Saccharomyces cerevisiae S288C: one gene and its partners. Changing the gene in region 2 together with the main gene of any one other region gives a genetic interaction. Each region holds a gene or a part of one and is shown on either strand. Other genes may lie near its edges.

Region 1 (8,830 bases), on a different chromosome or scaffold from region 2:
TATCCATTTTACTTCCAGAAACATTTGGTACGCAATCTAAAACTTCCAAGGCCTTTGCTTCGTATTCAGTAAATAGTAACCTGAGTAACGGAGAAATCAAATCAGCACCGACACCAATAAATTCTGGCCTTCTTAAGTCAATTAAAGGAAAAACATATTTTAAAATTTCCAGAGTTTGAACTCTGATCCATCCTATTTTATTGAACAGAAGACCCAGAAGGAACACTAACGTTTGAGCGGAGTACGAGGGGAAGTAGTTTCTAGATATGAAACTCACTACTTGGCTCATGAAATCTTTCTTTGATCTAAACTTGTTCTTTGCTAGAGAATCTATCAAACGGGAAAGAGAAGGTTGTTTGTACGCATTTGCAAGTTCAATTAACGAATCTGCAGCAACCTGAATGCCCGTAAAATCTTTGCGATCCATTGCATTCAAAAATCTCGGAAGGTTTGCTATTAATGCGAAAAGCAGCCTAGACTCTGTATTTGCTATAATTCGGCTATCTTTCAACAAATTTAACTTATCCAAAAATTTCCACGTAATCTCTAAGGAATTCGCTGATCGCAATCCAGTCATAACTATTTGTTGCAAGCCATCAAAGCGACCTTCCCAATTGGAAGGAAAGATCGCAACCAAACACTGTACGGTATCAGGAGAATCCAAATCGATCTTGGAAATGAATTTACTTAAACATGACAGCACTTCAATGAATTCTTGTTCGTGAATGCTGCTCAAACATGCTGTAATGGACCAAAATAACTGCGGGAAACTGATCAAATTCGTCGGATCAAGTTCGGCCATGATTGCATTCAAAGTCATCAAGATCTGCATGGCAAATCCTTGTATATCGACATTTCCATCCGATATAGTGTTCGAAAGTCTATGAAGCATATCACGCAACATTTCCTGATCTAAAAATGTCAATAATGATCTAAATATTTGAAATGACCTGCACGCTATGTGCCTAACTGAGCAAGTGGTAGCCCACTTCAAGGCAATTCTTTGCCAAGTTACTTGAAATTCATCTAAGTCCGAGAATATAGAGATTATGTTCCTAATTAATAGGTCCATAGTTTTTGGTGATCTTGCACCTTTTTTCATCAAGTTATCATATGACCATAAGGCATGCTTATTTCTTAGTAGTTTCACGGTTTCCTCAGACTTTTCGTGACTTGGTGCCAATCCAAATATTAATGTAGATGCAATTTTACACGCGCTTTCGTGAATAAGCGGCACATAATGGTCAAGCAAGCAAATGGACATATGTAGTAGAAGAGGAATTTTCGCCTTTACAGATTCACTCAAGTTCGTTAACAAATTGACTAAAAAGATAATCGAAAGCTGCGCCTTCGAAAAAATGATTCTTTTCCCATTGTAATTTAGTCGTTCCCAGATATTCCCTAAAAAGGAATACTTATTATTATTCATTGGCTCATTAAACGTATGTTTCGCTAAAGGAACCATGTATTTCGGTTCTAAATTATTCAATAGAGTGTCAAGTAGTCCAATGCCACCAGGAATATTTGCCAAATACAATACAATATCTCTAGCATACTGAACAAACAATGGATTGCAGTGATTCATTGAAGAATTTATGATGTACTCCAGCGATACGTGTATATTTTGGAAAGAATTACCCTTGCCAAGAGAAATCCATAGCTGCTCTACTTCGTTCGGTAAAGAGTCGTTAAGATCAATAGTGATGTAAAATAGGTTATTCAATACCATAAACGTGTCCAACTCTTCTAAAGATTTCAATGTAAATTTGTTTACCCAAGGTACCATAAGCACCAACAAATCTCTTTTTATTTCGAAAGGAAACAAATCAAGTATTCTAACCAAACTGGAAAATATTCTCAAACACAAATCCTGAGAGAGCAGTTCGGCAAATATGCTAGAAATTTCTTTTGCAGTTGATTTGTAAACCGTCTTTGAAGAATTTGCAAGTCTCTCCTTAAATACCTTGGTATAAGAAGAATTATGTAATTTCGTTTCAACAGCTGAAAGTAGATCAACAGCAAATGTCCTTGTATCTTCCTTATCTGCCACTAAACCATACAAACCCAAGGAGACTAATTCATCTTCATCTAAAACCAAATTATCCAATTTCAAAACGGATTTACAAAGTGTAGTGTAATATAAAACAGCTACCGAAGGATGTGAGTGGTGTGAAACACATTGGAAAGCAACATCTCTAAATAGTTTAAAATTTTCCCTATTTTTGTCCAGGAGATTCTCCAAAGCACGCACACCAAGATTTTTTACAGTAGTATTGTCCGAGTCAAATAGTGCTTCAATCCAAGCAAGTAAATCTTCAGTATCGAATGAAATCACAATAGGCAACTCTAAATCATCGTCCAATGTTTGGGTTATTGGATCTGAACATAAAACAACCATAGTCTCTAGCACGATCATCTGCAATCTGTTTTTTTGGAATTCTATTCCAGTTGTAATAGCGGTTCTATCTCTGCCACTCTCTGTATTTTTTATCATTATGGCATATCTTTCTTCAGATATTGGCTCGTACTCACCATAACCACACCATTCCTTCAAGAAATTGAAACATGATGCGCGTGCTTGGAAGGGAAATAATTCATCTATTAGCGGATGCTCTCTTACTGCCATATAGTAGCTCAATATAAGACCTGCAAAGTAGCTTCGCAGCGATTGATATTCGTAGGAGATTTGCACAGAATCCTTCTCGAGGAACTGTTTTGTCTTCTGCAAAAACTCTGATAATTTCCGAAGTATCCATTCGTCATTAAATATCATATCCGATTTTAAGTACGGCGATAAAATCGTCAAAATATGAAACATCTCCACTCTGATTTGGTTGTTGGAGCTCCCTTCTTTCCATGCCACTAAAAATACATCAATTGCCTCCACATATGCTTTAAAAATGTTGATATTCATTGAGCTTAGCCCCGTTATTATAGCATCCCTAATCATAATATACTTTGCATTTAATAAGGGAAGAACCATCTTGAAGATTGATTTCGCAGATTTGATTTTTTGGTGCTGAACAGTAAAGATTTGTTGACTTTTTTTCCTGCCATGCTGAGGAATATTGGACGGAATATGCAGTTTTTGGTCAAACGTGGAAGTTAATGAAGTACATGCGGCAATCAAATATAGCTTCCATTGGTTTACTATTGTTTCCGGTAAAACATTTTTGAGTTTGAAATCAACATCATTTGCTACCCGCAGAATTATTTCGTGTACTTGCACAAGTCTTATACAAACGATAGATCGACACAATGCCATCGCCATAGGACAAGTTTTGAAAACCAACGCCAGTAATTTAGGAAAAGCCCTTTGCCATAGTGCAGCATCTACTCCGTACTCTGATTCGGCCAGTTTGATAAGTAGACCTCTTTTATATTTAGAATTCAGTCGACTGAATCTCGTTTTTTCAACCGCACTTAATGTTGCTTTATGTGGATTAATTAAGGTAGTGGTATTACACTCATTTAATAAATCAATAAGTCTTGTTCCGCGATCAGCTGCAAAATGGGATGATGATCTAGAATGCCCGTTTGACAATTTCTCTGTTTTCTCCATCATCGCTTCGTCAAACTTGAAAATAATTCTCAATATCTGGATGCCCAATCTACGAATTTTTGCATCGTGTGAACAAAGAAAAAATAAGCCATTCCCTTCTACTTCTTCAATAACTGTAACTGTATTTTTCCACTCCAGTTTTTCGGTTTCGTTACTCTCCTCTTGTTCTGCATCGATCGGCAACAAGCGAATTCCATCCAAACCAGTTTCTTTTTTATTTTCCTCTTTATTGGACGATTGGAATTCTTCTAACCAGCATTCCAAAAGCTCAACATAAAGTATCAATAATCTGTTGTACTCCTTTGATGACAAGTACGACATGTTATAACTTGATTGTGTCTTTTCATCGAAATCAAATGAATATTTAGCAAACCATGTGATTAGGGTGTATGGATTCTTCTTAGATGCTAATGCTCTTAGTGCATTTTGACTGCTAGAAGAAATAATTACCTCCGAATGAACAGCGTTCCTTGATAAAATCTCAATTGTAGATTTATATGGGATAGTGCGTGAAATAGAAAGGCAACATGGTATAGCTTCAATGATGGTGCCGAACAATATAACATAAAGCGACTTATTTTTACTTGAGTCATTGTCATTAGAAAAGCTAAAGCCAAATGGGCTGAATGCGTTTGATGATTGCTTTTGGTGCTGATTTTCAGGAGACCAAACTTCAGAACCGATGCTAGAATCCAATAAAAGGAATAATTTATAAAAGTAATCTGATATTTCTGTATGGTTTATGGAAGAGGCTTCTTGAACCTGATTCACTGTAATATTGTTTAAATTTAGTTCATAAAGCCTGTTATCATCCTCAGGAAACCTTGGCCTCTCTTTTGTAACCAGCAATCCTTTGTATGTATTTATAGTCAAAATCAGTTTTTCGTAATTGATATTTTCCAGGTTAGAGCCATTGAAAGATTGCCGTATCAATGGAATTAAAGCTTGTTCCATTAAAAAATTCGGATGTAAAAATCCAATTGATATTAACGCGTCTGTCAATGGGTTCAAGAGACCAAAATCGCCGGTTATCCAATTCTCTTTTTTCCTTGTGTTTAGATATAGTTGTAAAAGCTTGGTAAGCGTCCTTGTAGTATTATTTAAAGTTTCTGGGCATCTATATAAATAGACCCAAACTAATCTGGATAAACCAACTGCAAAGATAATCCTTTCATTCAGACTTTTGGACTTAACTTTTGAGGCATTTGCCTCCAACAACGATAGCCATTGTTTAGAAAATAGGTCTGGTGGTGATGCACACAAAATAGAAACTGTTAATTTGAAACCACTTACCCAATACTTACTATCAGCTTGTAGCCTCTTGGCAGTGTTCAGTAAAGTAGACATTGCCTCTACCCACGTTGGATGATTAACTTCTGCCGTCAACGAGCCAGCCAAAGGCAACAATAGCTGGTTAGTGACTTCAGCATACGCCAAACAAACCGGAAAATTTTCAGTCTTTGCGAAGAACTTTGATAAACTTTTCATGAAATCTGCACTTTCTTCAAATTTCTCCAACGGATAATTTCTTAACTTCAAATATCTCATACCAAGAATCAACAAATGAGTACTTGGCTCTAACTCGGGAGGTATATACGCCGGGATTTTTTCTAGATCAGCTATAAATCGATCACTAACTGACAAAAATTTCTTTTCAGACATAGAGCCCAGTAGTTCGGCAAAAGAATTCCAATTCGAAGACTTAATTAAACTAGTTGATATAGAAAGTGGATCAGTAGTTTTTAACTGAGTAAAAACAATCTCTTCTAGCTTATCAGATAAATCTTCTTCTTCATTGCTGGAAGCCTGCTTAACAATTTCATTTAGCACCCTGCATAGGATGTATATACTAATCAGAGATTTCCTATCTGCAAGGAATGCTTCTTCTTTTGCTACTTCAATTGTGTTCTCTAAACTTTTCAATTGTGAGTTCGCTATGGATGGACTTGAAGTAGCGCTATTGTTACTGCTACTAGCTTTGATTAACGGAACTTTGTTGTTGAAAGATGAGGAAACGTGCCTTTTCATGCCAGGAAGATTATTGGTATTGTTATTATGTTTGTACTTTGAGGTTGTATTACTGGAAGATCTTGATAGCCGCCTATTCATTAAAAAATGAGCCTGCGAGGGATGTGCCTTTTCAAACTCATACTCTTTTAATAGTTTTTCCATTTCTTCTGAAGCAGAGTTGGCCGCTTCAGATTTAGTCTTCCTCCAAAACATCATTGCATCAATCACAGGTTTCGGTTTTTTCTTTGCAATGTGACCTAGAGATTTAATAATTTCATCAAAGCTGGGATCAACGCCTTCACCAAGAATTTCTACAATTGGGGGTTCCGCCATGTCCAACTGCTGTAGACACATATTTAGTTTGTTCTCCGCGTAACGAATAAACTTTGTAAAAAGTATATGAAGAGCATATTCAGAGGGACTTTTCCAATCTGTAGCCATTTGCTGTCTCAAAGTAGTCACGTAGTCCTCTGCTACTGATTTTGCTGTAATGTCCGGCGGTGCTGATTCTTGCATTCTTTGCTGCTTTTGTTCAGGTAGTAGCATTGAAATCTTGTTTTGATCACTTTGCTCCTCAACAAAGGTAGGCGGAAGAGCTTGACCTTCCCCCGTTCCTTGTTGCTGTTGTTGCCGTAAAAGTAATTGATTATTTAGAGAGGTGCCTTCAGACATATCAGTAGGAGATGGAATATCAATAATAGGTGCATCCGTAACGGATTGGTGAAGAGGAAATGTGTTAAGTGGCGCTTCGTTTATTTCCTCCAAGACATCCTGGCCTGAAGGATCAATATCTATTGATATCTGGTTATTGTTGCTAGAACCTTCTGCTTTATTTGTCGGTGGGAAGGTGAAACCAATGCCTTGATCCCTCTGGGGCGGGAAAGTAAATCTCGAGGCCATTTTGATGTATAACAAAACTAAAAAGGGTTATTAAAATGGGAACACAACAAACAACCAGAATTTTCACACTTTAACCAGTCACGTCCTATTATGAAGACCTAAATCCACATTTGCTTTCTCTCTTCATTTGCCTAATCCTTTATCCCAATTTCTACAGTTCTATATGTATTTTCCTGTGTGGCTGTCGTTTCGTGGTTAGTGATACAACCATAACGATTCAACCAACTCCCAATGTATGTGATGTTGATACCGCTAATTTGGAAGGGATGGTATACTCTAGGTGACCTCAATGAGTCAAAGAGAGCTAGGACATACTTCGAGATAGGTAATACCACTTTGCAGCTTCTTTTTAGGCCTTCATGAGTGAGTAGCCAAGAAAAAGTTAAAAGCGGGTAATAGGTATGAATTTTTCAAATACTGAAATTTGGTTTAGTTATTTAAGTGAATTGTAGATTATGTACATTTTACGTGCAATGAAGGAGTCACCTCTATGATCATCTAGTTATTAGCTGTTAGTTTTCATTGAACTTGTTTTAACTGGGAAAAAGCGGAACAATTGGGCCTTACAATGACACCAGACGAACTAAATTCAGCAGTCGTCACCTTTATGGCCAATCTGAATATTGATGATTCGAAGGCCAACGAAACCGCTTCCACAGTAACGGATTCTATTGTACACCGATCAATAAAATTGCTGGAAGTTGTCGTTGCGTTGAAAGATTATTTTCTTTCAGAAAATGAGGTAGAAAGGAAGAAAGCGTTGACATGTTTAACCACTATCTTAGCAAAAACTCCCAAGGACCACCTCTCCAAAAACGAATGCTCAGTAATATTTCAGTTTTACCAGTCTAAGCTTGATGATCAAGCGCTTGCAAAAGAAGTCTTGGAGGGCTTCGCCGCATTAGCTCCAATGAAATATGTCTCCATTAACGAGATAGCCCAACTTTTGAGATTATTATTGGACAACTATCAACAAGGCCAGCATTTGGCATCAACTAGACTGTGGCCATTTAAAATTTTGAGAAAAATATTTGATAGATTTTTCGTCAATGGATCCTCGACCGAACAAGTCAAACGAATCAACGATTTGTTTATTGAAACATTTCTTCATGTTGCCAATGGTGAAAAAGACCCTAGAAATTTACTCTTGTCATTTGCACTTAATAAATCTATCACATCGTCCTTGCAAAACGTGGAGAATTTTAAAGAAGACTTATTTGATGTCTTATTTTGCTATTTCCCAATCACTTTCAAGCCACCAAAGCATGATCCTTACAAGATCTCCAACCAAGATTTAAAAACAGCTTTGCGATCAGCAATTACTGCGACGCCATTATTTGCCGAAGATGCTTATAGCAATTTGCTGGACAAACTCACTGCTTCTTCACCGGTAGTGAAAAATGATACACTTCTGACGCTATTAGAATGCGTTAGAAAATTCGGCGGCTCTTCTATATTGGAAAATTGGACGTTACTTTGGAACGCTTTGAAATTTGAAATTATGCAAAACAGCGAAGGAAATGAAAACACTCTACTAAATCCGTACAATAAAGACCAACAGAGTGATGATGTGGGCCAATATACTAACTACGATGCTTGCTTGAAAATTATTAATCTAATGGCATTGCAACTATACAATTTTGACAAAGTATCATTTGAAAAGTTCTTCACTCATGTATTAGATGAGTTGAAACCAAATTTTAAATATGAAAAGGATTTGAAGCAAACCTGCCAGATTTTGTCCGCTATAGGTAGTGGGAATGTCGAGATATTTAACAAGGTCATTTCGTCAACTTTCCCCTTATTTTTGATCAATACATCTGAAGTTGCCAAACTTAAGCTGCTGATTATGAATTTTTCTTTTTTTGTTGACTCGTACATTGATTTGTTTGGAAGAACATCTAAAGAATCGTTGGGAACACCGGTGCCAAATAATAAAATGGCTGAATACAAAGACGAGATCATAATGATTTTGAGCATGGCCTTGACAAGAAGCTCCAAGGCAGAGGTTACCATAAGGACTCTATCTGTGATTCAATTCACAAAAATGATTAAAATGAAGGGCTTTTTAACCCCAGAGGAAGTTTCACTAATTATTCAATACTTCACGGAAGAAATATTAACGGATAACAACAAAAACATTTACTATGCTTGTTTGGAAGGGTTAAAGACAATCAGTGAGATATATGAGGATTTAGTTTTTGAAATATCATTGAAGAAATTATTGGATTTGTTACCTGATTGCTTCGAGGAAAAAATTCGAGTAAATGATGAGGAAAATATTCACATTGAAACAATTTTGAAGATTATTCTTGATTTCACCACTTCGAGACATATTTTGGTCAAAGAAAGCATTAC
Region 2 (6,174 bases):
GGCGTCTTTGTAGTAAGTATTTCATTACTAATTGAAAAAAGGAGCAATCTGAAACTCCTAAGTGTTGATGGAATTCTAACTCTGCGAATTTGCTCATTTCATTGTCCACAATTTCAAGAAGCAGTTCCTTGTCATGGTCTACCCTTCCACGTTCTTCGTCGATATAAATAAAATTATCGTCATCAAAAACAAACCTCGTTCTCCCATCATTCAAACTCAGTTGAGCCTCTTCCAAAAATAAAGGGTTTGTCAACGTATCATGGTGCCAGCTAGCACCTATATCATATTTCCGACCTTGATAGCCTGTGACAGTTTGCAACCTACCACCGACCCGATCTCTGGCCTCAAGAACAAGACAATCTTGAATACCGTTTTGGTGTAGCGTAGATGCAGCTTTAAGCCCAGCAATACCGGCACCAATTATAATAACCTTTTTTTTGGCTGGTGAAACTGTATTCATTCTCACACGACCACTGTTTTTGCCTTTATTAACTCACTTCTTGTTGGGAACAAAAAAAGAAAAACAGAAATAAAAAACTGCAGCAGAGCAAATTTGAAAATAGTTACCATGGTTTAAAAAAACTCCTCTTTTATATCTTTAGGATACCAAAAATTGTCTATTGTTTAAAAGATCTCATAGCGTGACATCCGTATATGGGTGGGTGACCCGAAATTTGAGCCTCCTTCTTGTAAAACGAGAGTTTGTCATAGCAACGGACCAACATGTGGTAAGGTGAGGTTGACTCAATTTTTTCAACATCTTATATACAATATAATAATATGTAGGTAAACGTGTCCATAAAATGGTTTTATGGAATAGAAAAAGAATCCTTATGCAAAATTTTGGTCAAACCATAATAAATTGGAAAATAAATCATCATCAAACACATTAGGAGAGTTCCCTATTTTACTGACAGTATCAAGAACATCTGAGGGCAATCCAGTATCAGTACCTAGATTTGCTACTGCACTTTCCGGAGAAATTGCGATTGAACCGTCGAAGTTAGTGGTATTATGAGACCTAGTAGCTAATGGTACTCTTTTGCTATTGTTATGTGGATTTTCTTGTCTTTCATCAGCATTTTCTTCTCTTTCACCAGCATCAACTTCAACATCCGCATCATTATCGCCAACTTTCTTGAACTGCTCAAACTTATTTCTATTAGGGGTGTCATCACCATGATCAGTTCCGAGAGTAGCTTCCAATTGCAAAGCAGAATCTCTCAGTCGTATGCAGAACATATGATTCAGCATTTTCAAACACCACAAGCACTCAGGAAGCATTGAAGGCCGATTTTTTGGCTTAGAGCACTCTAAGGTTCGCCATATTTCTTGGCAGCTTTGCATGATAGCTTTATTTTGAGTTACGGCAATCCCTGCGTGCAGGTAGATAATACATATTAAATTTACCGTGAATAGTTGAGAAAGGTTTAACCACCACGGAACAAAGAAAAGATTACTTCTCGTAATTTCAGCCAAATTTTCAATAGCCATTTGACAATGAGAAATTAACAATTCAGTATCGACGACATATTCTAGGGATTTATTATTTGCGGTAGATGAGGGGGCGATTAGACAAAATAATTGTCTTACTTCGAAAGTCAGCCTTATATCCAGGTATGTCATGAATGGTTGAACTTGATAGAAGTAACGATAATTGTCGTCGTACGCATTGGTTTGACTTCCAACTATAAAGGTGTCATACCATTGACCAAGTTGGCTGCGCAATTGCACGGTCTCGTTCAAATTTAAATCCTGTGCGTCTCTTTTTAAAAACTGTGTCACTATTATGGACAAATCAAGCATTTGAAAAGTCTCTTCGTGAAACCAATCATCTTCTTCTTGTAAAAATTTCTTTGACTTCACTAGATTCATCTGTTCGCACATCTCGCTCGCGGGTAATGATAGTTGGTAGAATCGACCCATTTGAAAACTTATCAACTTATCCATTATAAAACAACACCAGAAACAATGCCATGCTTTTGATTCATCATAAGTGGAATGGATCTCAGGAAATTTGTTTAAATATAGACTCATCCCATTACACATGTTCACCGCTTGACTTAACGCGTTCCAGCACGCCGTCTGTCTGTAACAGGTTCTGAAATAGAAGGTTATCAAAAGCCACGATTGTATTAGTTCGAATGATTCCCACTCAAAGGTCAGCGTGTTGATTATTAAATAAGCGTATTTGAATAAATTTTCCTCTATGGAGGGTTTTTTGATCAAAATAGATTTTTCCTCGAATGTGATATTTAAGGATGTGTTACTGTAGGTTCCTTGCCCTTTCTGACCATCTAGATGCCCTTCTCTGAATCTTAGTGTAGTAGACAAAATTAGATAAAGCATGGAAGTGAATAGATTCGCAGATGAATTATTTTGTTTACCTTGCCGTAGAAATTTATTGTTATATTGCTGCCAAAATGTCGCTTCGTGAATGATACTGAAAACAGGATTGATCTCATCAAAATAATACCTTAGTAACTTATTGATTAAGGATAAGTGAACAGGGTCATCAAAGTCGAAAAATTTAGACTCATGCCTTATATTTTTTTCTTGGCTTCTAAAGTCACCCTTATACTTTAAGTAATGGCCTCCTGACAAGTTCCAACCATAGTTTTGAACTCTTGGCCTTTTCAACTTCGCGTACTCTATTGTCTGCGGAGATAGATCCTTTAAAATAGATACACCAAGGTAATAGGGCAGAATATTTTGGTAGCGTCGGTGAAACCTATACTTATCTAAAGAAAATGTCTGCCAGGGTGATTCAAAGTGATCATTAACAGTGTTAGTTATTTGAGAGTTGATTATCTTATTCTCTTTAGAATTGATGTTGTTATTATGAAGAGCCTCTGCAGAGTCACATATTGCAGACCTGTGATTCGTGTCACAGTCTTCCTGACTATTTTTCATGTTGACCACTGTCGGGTTTGCATTCACATCACTAGCATTGGTTCTAGTTGTTCTAATTGACGATTCCTTGGTCGTATTCCCCAATTTTGAACTCAATTGCAGAAGTAATTTAGCCATGTGATCCTCCGGAAAACTGTTATTGTTATTTTCTCCATTTAAGTTGCTTCCGGAATGGAATGTATGGTTTGGCCTACCGCTCATGAAGGGTAAAGTGGATGATATATGATGATAATGTGAATTTGGATTGGGAGAGTTGCTAGCAGACGAAGATACACCATCTGAGGGGGCATTTATGATAATATTTGATTTACTTAACAAGTCCCTAGGAAAAGACTCACTGGTTTCTGCATATGTCTTACTAACGTCCCGAACAGCTGATGCGACCTGTCGTCTTCTTCTTTTACGGTTTGTAGCTTTGAAATCATAACGGCATTCTTTTTGATGTTTAGAGCAGTTCAGACAAGGATTGTTACCGTCGCATTTAACCTTTCTCTTCTTGCAAAGTTCACAAGCTTTTTGAACCCTGAGTCTACCTTTTCCATTTTCTTTACTTGCGGCTGTACTAGTATCAAGTGCATCATCAGTATTCCCGATAGCTGTCATTTCTCTGAACCGTTCCTTTCTATTAGTATGGGCCCATGTCCTATCAATTTGCCGACTTCGTGCTAAAAAAAACTGAAGGAGAACAATCACTACGATGATGAGCTTGATTGCTACTGAACGATGCTCAAATACAAGTATATAATATATTTCATGATTGATACTCATGTTCAGCCGGGTATCTTTTTTCTTTGTTTTGAGAGGCTGACGGTGACTCTTTTAATTTGAACAAGGAAATGTATCATGCACGTATGACAGAGAGAAATAGTAGTACAAAAATCAAATATTACGTGAATACGTGAGATGAATAGCCGATATTAAGTAGATAATGAGAGGTTTCAGACGAAGCACATAGTAAACTCAGAAATATGCACTTGCGCGATAAAGTGAAATTACCTTCATATTCTTGCAAGAGGAACTTATATTTTTGAGAAGAACTAGCATAAGCTTGCTGTGTTTAGTGTTCCTTTACGCAATTAGCTTTTCGAACGTCCAATAGCATATTTGGTTTGTTTCAGCTTTAATTTTTTTTATTTTGAATGCACTATATAGCAAAAAAATTAACTAAAACCTAATCCATTTTGTTATAAATAGCTTTTAAGGTTGATATTAACGATTCTGTATTATGAGAACCATTTATTAGATCAAGTGAATCAAAATTTTTTGAAGCGATGAGAGCATTTTTTAAATTTTGCATAAATTTGTTTTGCATTTTTGCTTTGTTGTGTTCATATCCTTTACTTCGTAACAGTATAACTTCGATTAGCATTTTGCTTGCTTTTACATAGTCACCCTTATTCATGTAGGCGATCGCTAAATTATAACGAACCCTTGTAAAATTCGGTCTTAGTTGTTTGCATTTATTGTACGCATTTATCGCAGAGTGATACGACTTAGTATTGGCCAAAATAGCACCATATCTATTCCATATTGTTCCATTATTGGGCTTTTCCAGTAGTAAAAACTCTAAGCATTTCTGAGATTGCTTTATTTTCTGATCCGAATAATATAAGATTGATAATACTGAATATATATCATACTGATCTTTTTTTTCTATACCCATATTCAACAGGGATTCTAGAATATGCGCCAAATGGGCCTTTTTCGGAATTTTATTAATGCTATCTTTGTTTTCCCCCGCAGAAGGTTGGAAAACCTTCGAAAATTTTGAAAGAATCCATTTGTGAAAAAGTTTCAATGACTCTGATTCATTTTGTTGATTTATATGGTGAATTGCTAAGTTTTCCAATGCAATTGTATTATTTGGATCCAAATTTAAGCAATTTCGCAAAGCAAGCTCTCCATTGCTTTCGCTTTCATTTTCAAAATTAACTATACCTAACTTCAACCATGCATTTATATGGCTTGGATCTTGTGAAATGGCTGCTTCAAAGGCCATTACTACTTCGTTCAAATTGGAACCGTTGTCCATTAGTACACATCCTATTTTATATGGGTCCCGTTCCGTTATGTAGATGTTTGATTTTAGGAATTGATATGTTTGTGGTACGGATGACAGCATATGCATGAAATCAATTGTTTCTTCGTATTCTGCCACATATTCATAACCAACAGTTTTTTCTTCTACATTGTTTTCTATCTTTAGCTCATTTAGTAACTGATTTTCGATTGATTTGAACTGAAATTCCCAGCCATTAGAAACAGATGAGTGTTCATTGTAAGATATTCGACAAGGATATATACGATTTTGCTGATATGCCGTACTATAATATTGTGCAAAGTACCTATTGTGCAAATTAGCGGAGCGTTTCTCATGTTTGTTTCTACTGGGCTTGGTCACATCAGCATTTTTATTCTTGGGGAAACAAGAGAATTCCTTTGACCACTGGTTCTCAAGTCTTGAAAATTCTTTTTCGCTGACACCACTATGTTGAGATTTATCTGCCGGTAGTGCGGCCCGAAAATCTATCTTACCAATACTGCTGCCGGTTTGACAATTGGTAAAGATGTAATCTATTGTTCTAGCATCTCGCGCGGCGCTATCGTTAGTCTGAAAATCAGAGAATTTACCCAGATTATTCCATTTCAAGCCTAATCCATTGTTGATCTTATGAATTGGGTTGTCACCAGTTATGGAACAAGTAACTTCGTTCATCGTGCTTACAAAAGGTACCCTTTATTCTTAATGATTCTCCACTCAAAAAAAAAGAATAAAATAAAATAAAACGGATAAGAGTACGAAAAAAAGTGATGACCTTTTCTTTATTTATTGCCACTGTTTGGGTGAGAATATTGGGGTAAGAGCGCTTTGCCCCAAGTTTTCTGTACGATTTCAATGCGTATCAATCATCCTCTCCGGCGTTAGTAAGGTACTACCAAGGCCTCTACCGTTCCCAGGAAACTCTTCGGGTTTTGTCTGCGCCGCGCCGCTCTGATTGCTTTTCTTTTGGCGGCTATTTAAGTTCCCAGGTGCACATCAAAACCGGCAGGAAGCAAAGTAAATTAAGTTTGCACTTACAAACCCAAATAAGATCTCAATGTATTGCGTGCGCTCATATTCACATATGCGCAGGAACAATCTTGTCATATCTGAATCAGGCTGACGCATCCATGTCGTGTACATTTCTTGTAGGCTTGAAACTTGAACGGTACGAGAAACAAATTGGAAACGAATAAAAAAGTAAGAGAAGGAGGACATCC
Region 3 (4,968 bases), on a different chromosome or scaffold from region 2:
CGTTAGGGTTGTCATTACTACTCTGTTTAACGGGCGACCCAGTTCGAGAAAGACTTTTTCTATTTAATGAGAACGGCGATGAAACGTTAGGTACCTGCGGCGAAGGTGAAGAGGGCGATGGAGACGATAGGGGCGATATGGGATCGTTATTGTGTACTAAGGATAACGAAGCATTGTTGTTATTAAGGGACACGGAGCCGCTTTCGTTGACAGTTAGTTTCAATCCGCAGTAGTGGTATTTGGATTGACCTCTCATACCCAGCCTTCTAGTCGTTAAATCAGGAAAAACTGTTCTTATCAACTTCCCTAATGACGCCTGTGATAAGGGCTTCAGGTTGTTTTGGGAACAAGATGAAGCGTATTGAGCAAATATTTTGCCTCTTGGTACGTAACTATCGTGCTGAGATTTACAATTTTTCATTAACCAAAGTAACGCAAACACTTGTCTTTCTCTTTCTCTGTTTTGTTCCGCCAGCTGCAAAGCTGCCTTTGAAGTGTTCTGTGAGTCCATGCTCAGGACTTTGATTTCTGCATGCTTCACGATCTGCGCATACTCCTCGATGGTTTTAGATTTGTTATTTTCTGCAATTTGCTTAGCAATTATTTCTTGCGTGTTTCTCCTTGAAATGGAAGAGATTCGTTTCTCTTGGCTTGTTTTCTGTTTTTTCGTACTGCTTGGAATTGAGGGGAAGGTATTGGTACGTTTGGCAGCAGTAGGAGGATTATTGTTTAAGGTTTCCTCTGACTTGAAAGAAAGTGGGTAAGCAGATGAATTCGATCTATTCAGGCTGATAGACGCTGGATACACTGAGTATGTGGCAGGTTGCCGTTGTGTTGCGGGTTGTGCAGGAGGCTGTGTAGGGGTAGGAGATGGTTTATGGGAGCCGGGACCACTACCGATAAGTGGCGGTAATATTGGATTTGGCGTCTCCGGGCGGGGGGAACTTTGGTGTAGCAGGCTGTATATTGACGATGATTTGCTCGCTATGGGCGGGATATTCACTGACATGGGGGGCAAATAAGTGTGTGATGCTGGCGGTGGTTGGCTGCTGTACTTGGGTGCGTTTAAACTGTACCGATTACTGTTTACCGAAGATCCGTTACTTGGACCGTTGCTATTGTCGTTCGAGCCCCGACTAGTAGGTTCAATGTTATTATCACCGGACATGGGCAAATAAAATTCAAAATAATGAACAGACAAAAAACTAGGCGAGAAGATGAAGTACTTGGCAGGTATTTTTCTAGTGAAAAGGTTTTCTGTTGGTTTGCGTTCTTTGAAGATTACCATTTACTGCTATTTTTTTTTTCAACTTTTTCCCAAATCGCCATGACAACACGAAACGACAGGAGAAAAATTACGAAATCAAAAACAGGTTCAACTGTTGCAGCAATAGACACCACAAACGTGCGCAAGAAACCGCAACGAAGGGGAGGTGACCGTGCTTGAAATAAAATCCGAAGATCCATAGGTGAGCCACGAGTTTGATTCCAAACTCGTGGTTTTACCAACGAAGCTGTATATCGTGGAGTGGCGCTACCATTGGACCTTCGTTTCTTCTTTCCCTCTTCCGCACCGTACCAGATAGGAAAAACCGCACCTTCGTTTTTGCATACCTAGATGGTCCTGTAACAAGAATAGAGCTAAAGAAACAAGTATGCGTCGACTGCTGCCACGCCCGGCTGATTTAGGTGCACATCAGCTACCCAGCATACAAAGGGGCTTCCGTACGGTTGATGGTTATTTTTCTTGGTGTGTTGGTGCTGCTGTATCGCTGGTGCTGTCTGCGTTATTACGACTATCGTAGGACAAGGCCTCGAGAGGTGTAGGGTAAATCCCACTTGCACAAAGTATGTACACACTTGATTATCCAAATACCAAGAGAGTGTGGTTCAATTTACGGGCAGCTCGAGCTGCCCGTAAATTGAACCTTCCCCTTCCCCACGCTCAAGGGGTTCCTGCGCCGGTGTTTCAGGGGCAGGACACGCGGGGATCGCTGGCACAGTATATAAACAATAAAAGAACAATGGAGAGAGGAGGCGCCATTCAATATCAGCTCACTAGAGTGCATAGACGTATAGACACAGGAATAAAGATAGAAATAGGGTACCATGGAGCTGCCTTCAATAAATAGCACCACAAGTATATCCGACAACCAGGAGTTAAGGAATTACTATGACAAGTTGCTGTTCAAGAACAATAGTGGCAAGTCGCTAGCGGATTTGCCAGGAAAAATGGCAGATTTTAACGACAACAGCGCTGCTGCGCATCCCCGCTCCAGAGTTGACTTTATCAACGGTTACATCGGTTTCAGAGAGGATAAGCAGTCTCTTCTGGGGCAGAAGAACACTAAAAGGGCCTCGTTCAGCGCATTTGCGGACGAAGGAAGGAAACAGAGCGAGATGAGCATTAACGGGAAGAGCCCTAATTTGTCTCTTTTCTCATTTGAGTTTAACGGCACCCCGACTCAGGACAGAAAGCCATACAAACAGGATTACTTGAATGTGATGAACACTTCGCCTAACAATATTCTTTCTCCCTTAAACAACAGCTCCCAAAAATACTATCCACAGAAACAGCAGCAGCAGCAGCAGCAGCAGCAGCAGCAACAGCAACAAAGCATCTTTGACCCGGGAAGAAGATCTTCCTATATTTCTGATGCGCTGATTCATGGCAATGCGGCTACCCAGCAACCACAATACTCGCAACCTGTATATATTAACAACAACCCATCTTTGCAAGTACCATACACTGCTCCTTCCGAGTATACTCAGCAGCAACAGTACTCGTCACCCTTCAATGCTAGGCGCAACACCCAGCCAGTGCTGAACTTGCATCCGGCAGCCGCTCCCACAAACGATGCCGGATTGGCGGTTGTCGACGGCAAGAATTTGACGTCATCCAAGGAGCTGCATGACTTATATCTTGACTGCGGGTCAAACTATTTTGCTAGTGATAAAGTTTATAAATTTATTGACAGCATAAAGGGAACTTTACGCGGGGATAATGTCTCCGCCTCCAGTTCCAGGATTATAGAGTTTTTGGATTTTTTGAAAAATTGTAATCTGAATTACAACCCACAGTCTGACGCATTCATCTCCACTGCTGTTTCAAACGCTTCGTCGACCGGGGCGGCCAAATCCAAGAACAGCACTTCAATGCATTTGCACTATAAGCCATTAGTGTTAGTATCGTTGAAAAATGGTAAGCTCGAACTGTTGTCTAAACCACAAACGGCCACACTTATACTGAAAAGGGGCGATTTGGTCATTATTGATGGTGATCGTGGTAAAGATTTAGTTTTGGTGGTGGAACCGGTTGTAGATATAAATTTGGCACTATTTATAAATTTTTTGAAGAAAAAAATTCACTTTGATTCTCTAATCACCAATAGTCAACAGCATTTCCCCAATGACCAGTTTATCAAGACTCTGGTTGATACAACCAATGGTAAGCCGGTCGCTCATGAGTTGAATCCGAAGTTATATGATATCATTGAACTAACGCAATTGATCATCCCATCAAAGCAGGTTCTGAGATTTGCCACCCCGTGGGAATCCTCCACGAATTTACACAACAAATTCCAGGATGAGCTAAAGGCTCTTCACATTGCACAGCTAAAACTGAGGTCGCTAAATAACAATAACTCCGGTGGCGGGTTGAACATCAAAATATTGAATGCAGAGTTCCAATTCGACAGAAAGAAATTGACTTTCTACTACATTTGCCAGGAGCGTAATGATTTCAGAGACCTGATCAAAGAACTCTTTAAGTTTTACAAAACAAGAATTTGGCTTTGTGCTATACCGAACAATTTATCGATAGATTCCAAATTTTATGATTCAAACAAGTTTGAGTGGGAGATGTATCAGGATATGATGTCCCACTATTCCATGGACAACACTGGAATTGTCGTGGCCCCTGAACTGAATCGCTTGAAACTGGACGACTTCCAGATCGGTGTTTATATGGAATTGGTGAAGGTTTTGTTCGGCTAACCCAAACTTATATAATCATTATAAACATTTTATAAACTTATACACTTTTTTAATAATCTCACCATGTTTTTCTTATGTGTTTTGTTTGACAATGACATTACTCCCTACAAACATGTGCGCGTTTGTGACAAAAACATAAATAAAACAAAAATAATAAAAAGTCAAGTGAAAAGCACTGAAATCTAAAAAATAAATACATATACATATATATATATATATACCTATTTCGTTTCCGCATAGAAGAAATTGGAGGCAACTAGTTGCAGGTTGTTTTCCTTAGCCCATTTGCCAACACCGGTGGCAGGGGTGCCGTAACCCCAGTTCGGTCTATCCTTAATTTTCGAGAACTTAGATGAGTCCACGCCCTTAGGCTGCTTATATAACAAGAAAACATATCTGTGGGGACCGGATCCCTTGGGTGGAGCTGGTCCCATATATTCTATTAGTGTGTTCGAGCCCTTCGTATTGAACTCTGATGCAAAAAATTCGGTTGCTCCGGAGGTCTCGTGAGTAGCCTCATTCAACAGCTTTAAGTCGCATTCTACCAAGTGGCAGAATTCAGACCACTTGTGATCTGTCTTAGAGGGAGCATCCGGATCGGTCATTACCAGTGTGAACAAATCGTCGTCTTGGGGAACGTACGCATTCGCCTGTGGTACGCTTTTTTGCATTTGCTTATTGAACGTGAACTGGAATTGGGGCTTGGAACGTGCCTTCTCAGTGGGCAGCGTGTTACCCATGGCAACAGGTGCACTTGATGAGTACTCTACGGCAAGTATCCCGGAGGGTTGAAAGCTTGTGTCATGAATTACATCCTCCAGAATGCCGTGCTTCTTGTAGGAGTCAATGCTTGCTTGTGCGAAGTCTATTGCTTGGTTCATGTTTTTTGCTTGTTCTCTTGTTCTTGTATTGATGCACTGGTAGGGAAAAGGAGCACTGCAATTCGTTTCTTGCTGCCCCCTTTTTATATAC

Evidence for each region. Genes that interact genetically often act in the same process or in processes that back each other up.
Region 1: mutations in STB4 (region 2) and TAO3 together harm fitness more than expected from each alone (negative genetic interaction), as found in Saccharomyces cerevisiae (one large-scale study listed by BioGRID).
Region 3: mutations in STB4 (region 2) and YLR177W together harm fitness more than expected from each alone (negative genetic interaction), as found in Saccharomyces cerevisiae (one large-scale study listed by BioGRID).

Annotation. Positions count from the first base shown.
Region 1 is NC_001141.2:106,766-115,595, forward strand, and holds the start of TAO3 (Tao3p), read right to left. Parts: upstream 6,473-8,830; coding exon 1-6,472. Other genes in the region: MET18 (Met18p), read left to right, coding at 7,041-8,830. UniProt on the Saccharomyces cerevisiae protein: Seems to play a role in cell morphogenesis.
Region 2 is NC_001145.3:309,663-315,836, reverse strand, and holds STB4 (Stb4p), read right to left. Parts: upstream 3,682-6,174; coding exon 832-3,681; downstream 1-831. Other genes in the region: FMS1 (polyamine oxidase), read right to left, coding at 1-460; PEX9 (Pex9p), read right to left, coding at 4,085-5,629. UniProt on the Saccharomyces cerevisiae protein: Binds to SIN3.
Region 3 is NC_001144.5:508,945-513,912, forward strand, and holds YLR177W (uncharacterized protein), read left to right. Parts: upstream 1-2,109; coding exon 2,110-3,996; downstream 3,997-4,968. Other genes in the region: RFX1 (Rfx1p), read right to left, coding at 1-1,288; TFS1 (Tfs1p), read right to left, coding at 4,218-4,877.